Linked DNA regions of Caenorhabditis elegans. The protein of the gene in region 1 interacts with the protein of each later gene in a pairwise test. Each region holds a gene or a part of one and is shown on either strand. Other genes may lie near its edges. The genes, in order: trp-2 and ahcy-1.

Region 1 (5,247 bases):
TGGAGCACAAGCTGCTGCTGCTCCTGTGCTGCTCTCGTCTATTTCTCAATTTTTGTTCTTTTTCACCCCCTTTTTGCTCCAGAATCCCATCGTCGTCCCCCAATCATGATGGCTTAAGACCCCTCCTAATGAAACATTTTTCATTATTTGGTTTTATGGAAGAGTCTTGGAGTCCTGGGAAATTTTTTGAATTTCTTACATTTTCAGCTTATATATTCCGTCAATTTTGAGTTCCGACACAGCTGAAAGCATAGCTACCGTACCCCGCGTGGCGAGACCCAAAATTTTTTAAATTGACGGAATATAGGCTTGTTGGGGGTCATTTGAAAGCTTACAATGTCCTAATCATAGAAATTTTAGTTTCAAATCTAGAAAATTAAACAATTTTTAAAAAATTGGGGAAAAATCTTTTCTTTTTGTTTTTTTCTGAAAAATCGTTTTTTGAAAACTTTGTGTGAAGTGTTGGTTCCTGATAGTGAGCATTTTCATAAAAATTTTTGACTTCCTTACATTTTCAGCTTCAAAATGACCCCCATCATGCCTATTTTCCGATCACTTTGGGTTCCGACACAGCTGAAATCAGAGCTACCGTACCACGCGTGGCGAGACCCAAAATTTTAAAACTAACGGAACCCAGGCATGATGGGGGTCATTTGAAAGCTAGAAAAAATCTTAACTTGATTTTTATAATCTCATTTTTATAAACTTAATTTTTTAAAGAATTTTTGGAAAAATCTTTTTTTTTTCGGAAAAAAATAGGACAAAAAAATTCAACAATTTTTTAATAACTTTTAATAACTTTTTGATCTCATTTCAATTATTTCCAACAATTTTTCCTGTCAAAGTCAAAAACTACACATAATTGCTGTTAAACTTTGCGGAAAAGTGATGGAAAAAGCGCAAAAATTATGAGCGTCTCCGGGAGAGAGATGTGTGTTTTAAAACGCGCATTATTATGCTCTCGGCGGAGCTTGTGAAGCTTAAAGTGTTTTCTGGTTTTAGTAATAGGGTTTTTAGAAAAAAAATTGTGTCGAAAATTTATTAAAAATTTTTTTAAAATGTTTTGCTGCAAATTTTTTTAATTCGTATTTTTGCAGCTTTATTCCCTATTTTTCGAATTTCTCATTTTCCTGGCTTCAAAATAACACCCATCATGCCTAGTTCCCGTTAATTTTGAGTTCCGACACAGTTGAAACCACAGCTACAGTACCCATCGTGGTGAGACCCAAATTATAAAAATCGATGGAATATAGGCGTATTGGGGGTTATTTTAAAGCACTCGATATCACAAATGTAAATAATATAAATTCAAATTTAAAAAAAAAACCAAAAATTAATAAATTGTGGAGAAAATATAAATTTCTTCAAAAATTTTTTTTTTGAATATTTTTTGAATATTTTTTAAACACCCACTTAATTGTAGGTTTTTTTCCGTATCAGTTTTTGAACTTTTTTATTTTAGCTTCAAAATGACACCCATCATGCCTAGTTTCCGTCAATTTTAAGCTCCGACACAGCTGAAACCACAGCTACAGTACCCCGCGTGGCGGGACCCAAATTCTCGAAATCAAAGGAGTATAGGCAATATGGGGGTCATTTTGAAGCTATTGTCGTTCTGAAATTAATAAATAAACTTCTTTAAAGATTTGAAAATCGGTTAAAAAAATTTTGGAGGATTGAAAAAAAATGTTATTTAAAAAATGTTATCCAAAAAAAATTTAATACAATTTTTTCAGTATTAAATTTTAGTGTATTATCTTTTTGAAATATTTTTCAAATCAAAAACGTCCCTAACTAAAATACATTTTTCCGTCAGGCGATCTGGAGAAAATAAAAATATTGTGCTCTAAAAAGTGTCAGATTTCAGATATTTTATGACACTTTTTCTTTTTTTTTTGTAATTCCCTCCAATTTTAAAATTTTTTCATAAAATACGTGGTTTTCTGATGCCCTTAATTTTAGCGGTAAATTTTAAAAAAATTCGGAATTTCTTTGTTTTTTAATTTTTTTCAAATTTCGTCCCAAAACATCGCAAATTTTCCCTAAACCCTTCCATTTTCCAGCCAAAATGACATCATCAGAAGCATCCGAGTTTCGGATGATTGAAGATGACGATGACGTCAGCAACAATGTCACGTGGACCGAGTCGGACAACTCGCGGCTCCGCGAGAAGCAGTTCCTGCTCTCCTGCGAGCGGGGAGATATTGGGAGTGTTAGGAAGCTTTTGGCTGGAATTTCAACGGAAACTTTTAATATAAATTGTTTGGATCCGCTTGGCAGGTAGGTTTGATAAAGTTTGAAAAAATTAAATTTTTGAAAAAAAATTTTTTTTTTCGAAATGTTGCAAATTTCTTTACAATTTCTACAATTTCTTTCTTGAAAATAAAAATTTGAATTCAGCACCCCGAGAGCTTTCAAATAAGCCTCATCATGCCTATGATTTGTCAATTTTGAAATTCGACACAGCTGAAACCATAGCTATACTACCCCGCGTGGCGAGACCCAAAACTTTCAAAATTGATTAAACTAAGGCATGATGGGGGTCATTTAAAAGCTGAAAACGTCGATAATTTAAATTTTTTGAAATTAGCTTGAAAAATGGAAAATTTTGCAAAATTTGAGGAAAAAAGAAAAAATTTTTGTTTTTTGAGGAAAATTTTCTCGAACTTTTTAAATTTTCTCATATATTTATTTGCATTTACGATACAAAAAGCTTTCAAATTACATCCAACATGCCTTGTTTACGTCAATTTTAAGTTCCGACACAGCTGAAATCAGAGCTACAGTACCCCGCGTCGCGAAACCCGAAAATTTCAAAATTGACGAAACTTAGGCATGATGGGGGTCATTTAAAAGCTGAAAGCGTTGTAAATTCGAGTTTTATAAATAAAATGCAATAGCTCTAATATTTTTTCGAGAAAATTTTGAAACTAATAAATTTTTGAAAAATTTTTTTTCAACATTTTTTAAACTTTTCTTTCCCCGAATAAAATATATTTTATAGCATAGTACACTTGAATTTTTACGGGCTCCGCGAGTTCCGGTTTATATCTTATTCCCCCTCCCGGTTGCAGAAACGCGCTTCTCATCGCAATTGAAAACGAGAACATCGAGATGATCGAGTTACTATTGGACCACAATATTGAGGTTTCGTTTTGCACACTTTTTTAAAGAAAAAAAGCATTTTTAAAATGTGCTCGAAAAATAAGCCTAAAGTGAGAAATTCTGGAAAAAAAAATTTTTTTTTGAAAATTTTATTTGGAATTTTTTTTTTGGAATTTTTTTTTTGGAATTTTTTTTTGAATTTTTTTCGAAGCCCTTAATTATTTGTTTTGAAATTTATTATTGTATGTCACAAAAACAATTTCTGCAACAGAAGCCAAATTGAAAATCTGGGCAAAAAAAAATTGTTTTTCACAGATTTAAATGTTTTTTTTTTCAAAAAAATTGTTCTACTTCGAAAATCTAAATTTTTAACTCATTTTTTGTTTAATTTCCAAAAATTTTACAATTTCAGACCGGCGACGCAATTCTCTACGCAATTGGAGAGGAAAACGTGGAGGCGGTGGAGATCATAGTGGAGCACCTGGAAAAAATGGACAAATTTGACTCGGAGGTACTTTTTTCGAATTTTTTATATGAAATTTAACGTAAAATTTAGTTTCAGCGCACTGAGAGCTTTCAGAAAAGTATAATCATGACTGGGTTCTGAGAATTTTTAATTTTTCGGGAAAAAAATTGGGTCCCGTCGGGAAAAAGTCTCGGGGTACTGTAGGAAGCGAACTTTTCATTTTGGATTAACTTTTATAACAAATTCAGATAACTGGGTTAATTTTGAGATAGGTTTCAGGAAAATTAACCGAAAACTGAAAAAGGTACGAATTTTCGAAAAAAAATTTTTTTTTAATTTTCACAAAATGTTTTTTTTAGAAAATCTCTCAAATTGAAATTTTGAATTTTTCACATTTTAAGCTTCAAAATGACCCCCATCATGCCTAGTTTACGCCATTTTCATGTCTTGACACAGCTGAAACATAGCTACCGTAACCCGCGTGGCGGGACCCAAAATTTCAAAGTTGGCGGAACCTGGACATGATGGGGGTCATTTGAAAGCTCTCAGTTAGCCCAGTGCAAATATTATAACATTTTTGTTAAAAGTTCAAAAAATTGGTTAAAAATTGTACTTTCAAAAAAAAAACATTTTTTTTTGAAAATTTGAAATTTTCTGAAATTTCAGCGCCAAGGAGTGGAGATCACAGAGCACTCAGCATTTACTCCAGACATCACACCAATAGTGTTAGCAGCTCACAAAGACAATTACGAGTGCATAAAGCTGTTTTTGGACAAGAAGGGTACGGTACCCCACCCCCATGACGTCAGATGCTCCTGCCCCGAGTGCTACGTGGCAAGGGAAGAGGATTCTCTGCGACTTTCTAGGTCACGGATAAATGCCTATAGAGCACTTACAAGCCCGTCGCTCATCTGTCTTTCCGCTCGAGACCCGATTTTGTACGCTTTCGAGCTGAGCTGGGAGCTCAAGCGGTTGAGTTTTATTGAAAATGAGTTCCGCACAGATTATGAGGTGAGTTGGGAGGGGAAACAGTTTTTTAATAGGATAGAGCATAAGAAGAGCTTTCAGAAAAGCTTAAATTAGTATAGGTTTCAGTTGGAAACTTTTCTAAAATTTTGGGAAAAAACCAAAAAAAAATTTTTTTTTTGAGTTTTTTTTTTCAATTTTTTTTAGTCTCAAAAATAGTGAGATACTGTTTTTGTGTCATTTTTTGCATTTTTCCCATAAAACTTAAGCTTCCGTCTATTTTTTTTCTCGAAAAATTAGCTAAAAATCTTCAAAACTAACAAGGTTATGAATTTTTGAAAATTTTTTAAAATTCAAAAAAAAAATTTTTTTCTAAAATTTAAAAATCGCTAACTCCGCCAGTTTTGTGCATTTTCCGCAGTTTAGTGTAAATTGAAAGAGATTTTCTAGATTTTGTGATAAAAATACTACCAAAAACATTTTTCGTACTAGATACAGTACCCCAAGAGTTTTCGTGGTGGGACCCAAAACTTTTAAAAAATTTCTGAAAACATGCAGAACCTAGGCATGAATATACTTTTCTGAAAGCTCTCATAGTGCTTAATTCAAATTTTAAATTAATATTTGCTCAAATCTAAAATTAAACTCCAGGAGCTCTCCCAAAAGTGCCAAAAATTCTGCGTTCACATGTTGGACCAGGTGCGGGGCTC
Region 2 (4,330 bases), on another chromosome or scaffold:
TGAGACGATCTTTTTCTGCACGCATGAGGCTAATTTTTGTGAATCCTTGTGTTGTCATGCCGCGCACCTGAATCAGTTTATCGAAATAATATTTTTTAAATCATTTTTCGAACCTCCGTCTTCCAACTTCTTGCATGATCTATTAATTGACTGAATGAACGAGTCTCAAATCTTGCCGGCTCATTTTCCCTCATTTTCGTGTGGGTAAGTTGTTTTAGTACTGAAAAATCAATAAATGGGGAAACATTTTGCAGGTTATAGAGAAACTGATAAAAATTGAACATCATGGGAATTTCTGTAAATATAAAAAGTGAAACACGAAATGAGTGAAGCGTTGAGAGAAATAAAGAACTTATTTATCAATAGAGCGCCCTTCACCCCGACAAATTTAAAATTTGTTTTTCCCTGCTTGAAATTTCCCGGGCGTAGATCTGAAAATTCGATAAACTCACGCCTAATCAAACGTTTTCAGAATAATTTCTCAAACAATCGTCAAAGTTACTCCATAAAACATTTATGTCCAAAAGACAAACAACAGAACCAAATCAACGAGTTGAAGAAAAACGACTAAATCAGGCGATTATGTATTTGGGGGAAAAGCGGGTAGATGGGGAACAATACAACCAGTTCAAGATCATATGAAGTTTGAGGGCAATACAATTTAAAACAGTTAAAAAAATATCCGTATGGGGTAGAACCAACAAAATTAATATCTGTAGTGGTCTGGCTTGTATGGTCCGGCAACTGGAACTCCAAGGTATGAAGCTTGCTCGTCGGAAAGCTTAGTAAGCTTAACTCCCAATTGAGCCAAGTGAAGATAAGCGACCTCCTCGTCAAGGGTTTTTGGAAGAACGTAGAGTCCGAGCTTGTATTCTTGTGGAGTTCCGAACTTGGTCCAGAGCTCAACTTGAGCGAGAACTTGGTTGGTGAAGGAGTTGGACATGACGAAAGATGGATGTCCGGTGGCACATCCAAGGTTGACAAGACGTCCTTCGGCAAGGAGGATGACGTGACGTCCGTTCTTGAGGGTGTAACGGTCAACCTGAAAAAAGTTGGTTCAAACTTCTATCGATGATTGTGAATTCATCCTAATTCTGAACATTTTCTTACCTGTGGCTTGATGGTGTCCTTCTTGGTGGCATTGGTGTTGAGCCATTTGACGTCAATCTCGCAATCGAAGTGACCAACGTTGCAGACGATAGCGTCATTTGGAAGAAGCTCGAAGTGCTTTCCGGTAACGATGTCCTTGCATCCAGTGGTGGTGACAATGATGTTAGCCTTTGGTGCAGCCTCCTCGAGGGTGGTCACTTCGTATCCTTCCATAGCGGCTTGAAGAGCATTGATTGGATCGATCTCGGTGACAATGACACGGGAACCGAAAGCCTTGAGGGAAGCAGCAGATCCCTTTCCGACATCTCCGTATCCAGCGACAACGGCTACCTTTCCGGCGAGCATAACATCAGTGGCGCGCTTGATTCCGTCTGGGAGAGACTCGCGGATTCCGTACAAGTTGTCGAACTTGGACTTGGTGACAGAGTCGTTGACGTTGATAGCTGGAACCTTAAGGTCTCCCTTGGCGAGCATCTTAGCCAAGTTGTGGACTCCAGTGGTGGTCTCCTCGGAAAGTCCGCGGATTCCAGCGAGGTATTGTGGGTACTTGGCGTGAACCAAGTTGGTAAGATCACCTCCATCATCAAGGATCATGTTGAGTGGTTGTCCATCCTTGAAGACGATAGTTTGCTCAATGCACCATTCGTATTCCTCGTCGGTCTCTCCCTTCCAGGCGTAGACTGGGACTCCGGTCTGGGCAATGGCGGCAGCAGCGTGATCTTGGGTGGAGAAGATGTTGCAGGAAGACCATTGGACCTGGAAAAAGTTTCGATTTTTCAAACCAACTTATTTTAATACTAATTCTTTCAAAAAACAAGATTTACCTCAGCTCCGAGAGCAGTAAGAGTCTCAATGAGAACAGCGGTTTGGATGGTCATGTGGAGACATCCGGCGATTCTAGCTCCCTTCAATGGCTGGGATGGTCCGTACTTGGAGCGCATAGCCATAAGTCCTGGCATCTCATTCTCAGCAAGGATGATCTCCTTGCGTCCGAAATCGGCGAGCTTGATATCAGCGACCTTGTAAGCTGGCTTAGACTGGGCCATTGCGAATGTGTTTTACCTGAAATAATTAGAAATTTATTTTAATCTGCAGGACGGATAGGGAAGAGAAGCGAAGAAGTCCATAAGACGGAAATAAAGAAAAAAAATGAGACACTTTTTTGAAAGTTCGGCTGTGAAAAGGATAAAACAAGAGTTTGTGAAGAAAAAAAAACTGATTGTGAGAAGGTTATTTTCCAATTTATAAGTTGTTTTTGTTTATCAGAGAATCGAAAATAAACAAAAACAACCTTGGCTTACGTGGATTGCCAAAACATCAATTTTTAAATGGAAAAAAACAATAATCCATGTGTAAATAAGTAAACCCGAAAATACGGAAGATAGTTAGTGGACGAGAACTTTTTTAGGTTTTAGAGTTTAATATGTGGGAAAATCTATTAAATCTGGAACCATGACGAAGAAATTTACAACTAGTCGGTCTTTTAAACATAAAACAAAGCGAGGAACTTTGCAAAAACTTTTCCCAAAAAGAAAGCTTTTTCGAAATTTCTACTGTTTCGATCAAAGGCGCAGTGATTTTTCTCAGTGGGTCCCGCCACGAAGGCCTAAAATTTGGACTTACTCGCCGCGAAACGATGATTTTTATTTGAAAATTACTAAAGAAAATTTAAGAAAAAAACGTATTGACACATGAGGTGAGATATGCATCCTGCGATGCTCGTCAACCGTCAAGACAGCGTTATTTATGGAGAATTGGCGATAAAATCTTGATAGCCTTGTAAAATGTAAGATTACTTTGGCCGATAGCTTTGGTAAAGTGACCTTCCTGAATTCCACACCACCGCAGATTTCTTTGAAGATTCTGTACGACCTAGAAAAGGATATCACGTTTCAGATTAAATTTTAGGATTCGTCGATGATAGATTTCCCCCACTTTCCTCTTGTTCTAGAATGATTCAGTACCTTTTCAGTCTGAAAGGGAAAAATCACTTTCTTTTTTTTTTGCTAGCCCGTATTCCTACGGCGTTATTTCTGGCCCAACGGCGGCCTTTTATAGCACCCAAATGCCTGTGCCACATCAGTCTCCGCCCACTTTTCGTCGTGGATGTGCTGCGTCTCTCATTCTCCGCTTCTGTGTACTTTTCTATGTTAGATGTGCAGGAATGATAAGAGCTTGAGAGAAAGCAGAGAAAGAGGAAAGCGAGGGAAATTCAAAAATTAATTTTCTATTTTTGACACATTTTTTACAATGTGGCGCCTCAATTTGGATAATGTAATTTTTCATGCAAGACGTCGACCGGGACAGTTTCAAAATTTCTAAGTGATATGTTCTGAAATATAACTGTGTTCTGAAATATAATTTTGCTCATTACAATTAAAACTAAAATTTTCTTTGCAAATCTCGTTAAATTCTAGAAGAATCTATTAGAGATCTATGTATCTCTTACTTTCTATCATCCAAGGTCACTTCTTATCGTAGTTCTTTTTTCGAAATGCCCTCCGCCGCCAATTTCGTAGACAATTAGGTTTCGCTTATCAATTTTGCAAAGTTCAGGTGGTTTTAATGTCTAATAGAATTCTATAAACTTTTTAATGTTTTAATCTCCTAGAATAGACTTCATTTAATTTTCCAAATAAAATTTCTTTTGGTTTTTCCAAAATCCTCGAATGCTGAGAATCCGGTGCAGTTTCTCTGAGATATCTATTTCCCGGAAAATGATTTTTGTAATTTAGTATCGGAAATTTTGGCAAGGCGAATTTTTCTAGACCCACTTCGACCGTATACCTCATCTGGAATTCCAGACAGCTGATCAGCTACACATCACGCCATTCACAATGTCTCATATTTTATGTTTCTTCTCTTATCTCAATGATTATATCATGGTGATCTTGTTAACAATCGGCGCACGAGAAACAAAAAAGGAGTAAAAGAATATTAGTGAAAGGTAAAAAGGAGAGATTTCCTGAAAAAATCTTTTAAGAAAGTTATTTAACAATTTATAATTTTAGGATGGGAATAGGTTGGGACGGGAGGAAACGAAGATCAAATGAGAGAATCAGGAGAAAAAACATTTAAAAATGAAATAAAAATGTAGAAATTCAACAAATAAAAATAAATAAATTATGTTAAAAGGCGTAGCGAGTGCGAATGTCTTCCAACTTCTTTGAGATCTGAAAATTAATTTAATTTAGGCTATAATATGGAAATTTTTTGTAGT

Evidence for each region.
Region 2: the proteins of trp-2 (region 1) and ahcy-1 interact in a two-hybrid assay, tested with the Caenorhabditis elegans proteins (one large-scale study listed by BioGRID).

What each region holds. Positions count from the first base shown.
Region 1 is NC_003281.10:989,813-995,059, forward strand, and holds the start of trp-2 (Transient receptor ion channel domain-containing protein), read left to right. Parts: upstream 1-2,068; coding exon 2,069-2,280; intron 2,281-3,074; coding exon 3,075-3,147; intron 3,148-3,517; coding exon 3,518-3,616; intron 3,617-4,237; coding exon 4,238-4,582; intron 4,583-5,188; coding exon 5,189-5,247.
Region 2 is NC_003279.8:6,834,311-6,838,640, reverse strand, and holds ahcy-1 (Adenosylhomocysteinase), read right to left. Parts: upstream 2,173-4,330; 5' UTR 2,157-2,172; coding exon 1,935-2,156; intron 1,867-1,934; coding exon 1,111-1,866; intron 1,043-1,110; coding exon 707-1,042; 3' UTR 501-706; downstream 1-500. Other genes in the region: dpf-3 (Dipeptidyl Peptidase Four (IV) family), read right to left, coding at 1-67, 114-287; teg-4 (Splicing factor 3B subunit 3), read right to left, coding at 4,239-4,283. UniProt on the Caenorhabditis elegans protein: Adenosylhomocysteine is a competitive inhibitor of S-adenosyl-L-methionine-dependent methyl transferase reactions; therefore adenosylhomocysteinase may play a key role in the control of methylations via regulation of the intracellular concentration of adenosylhomocysteine.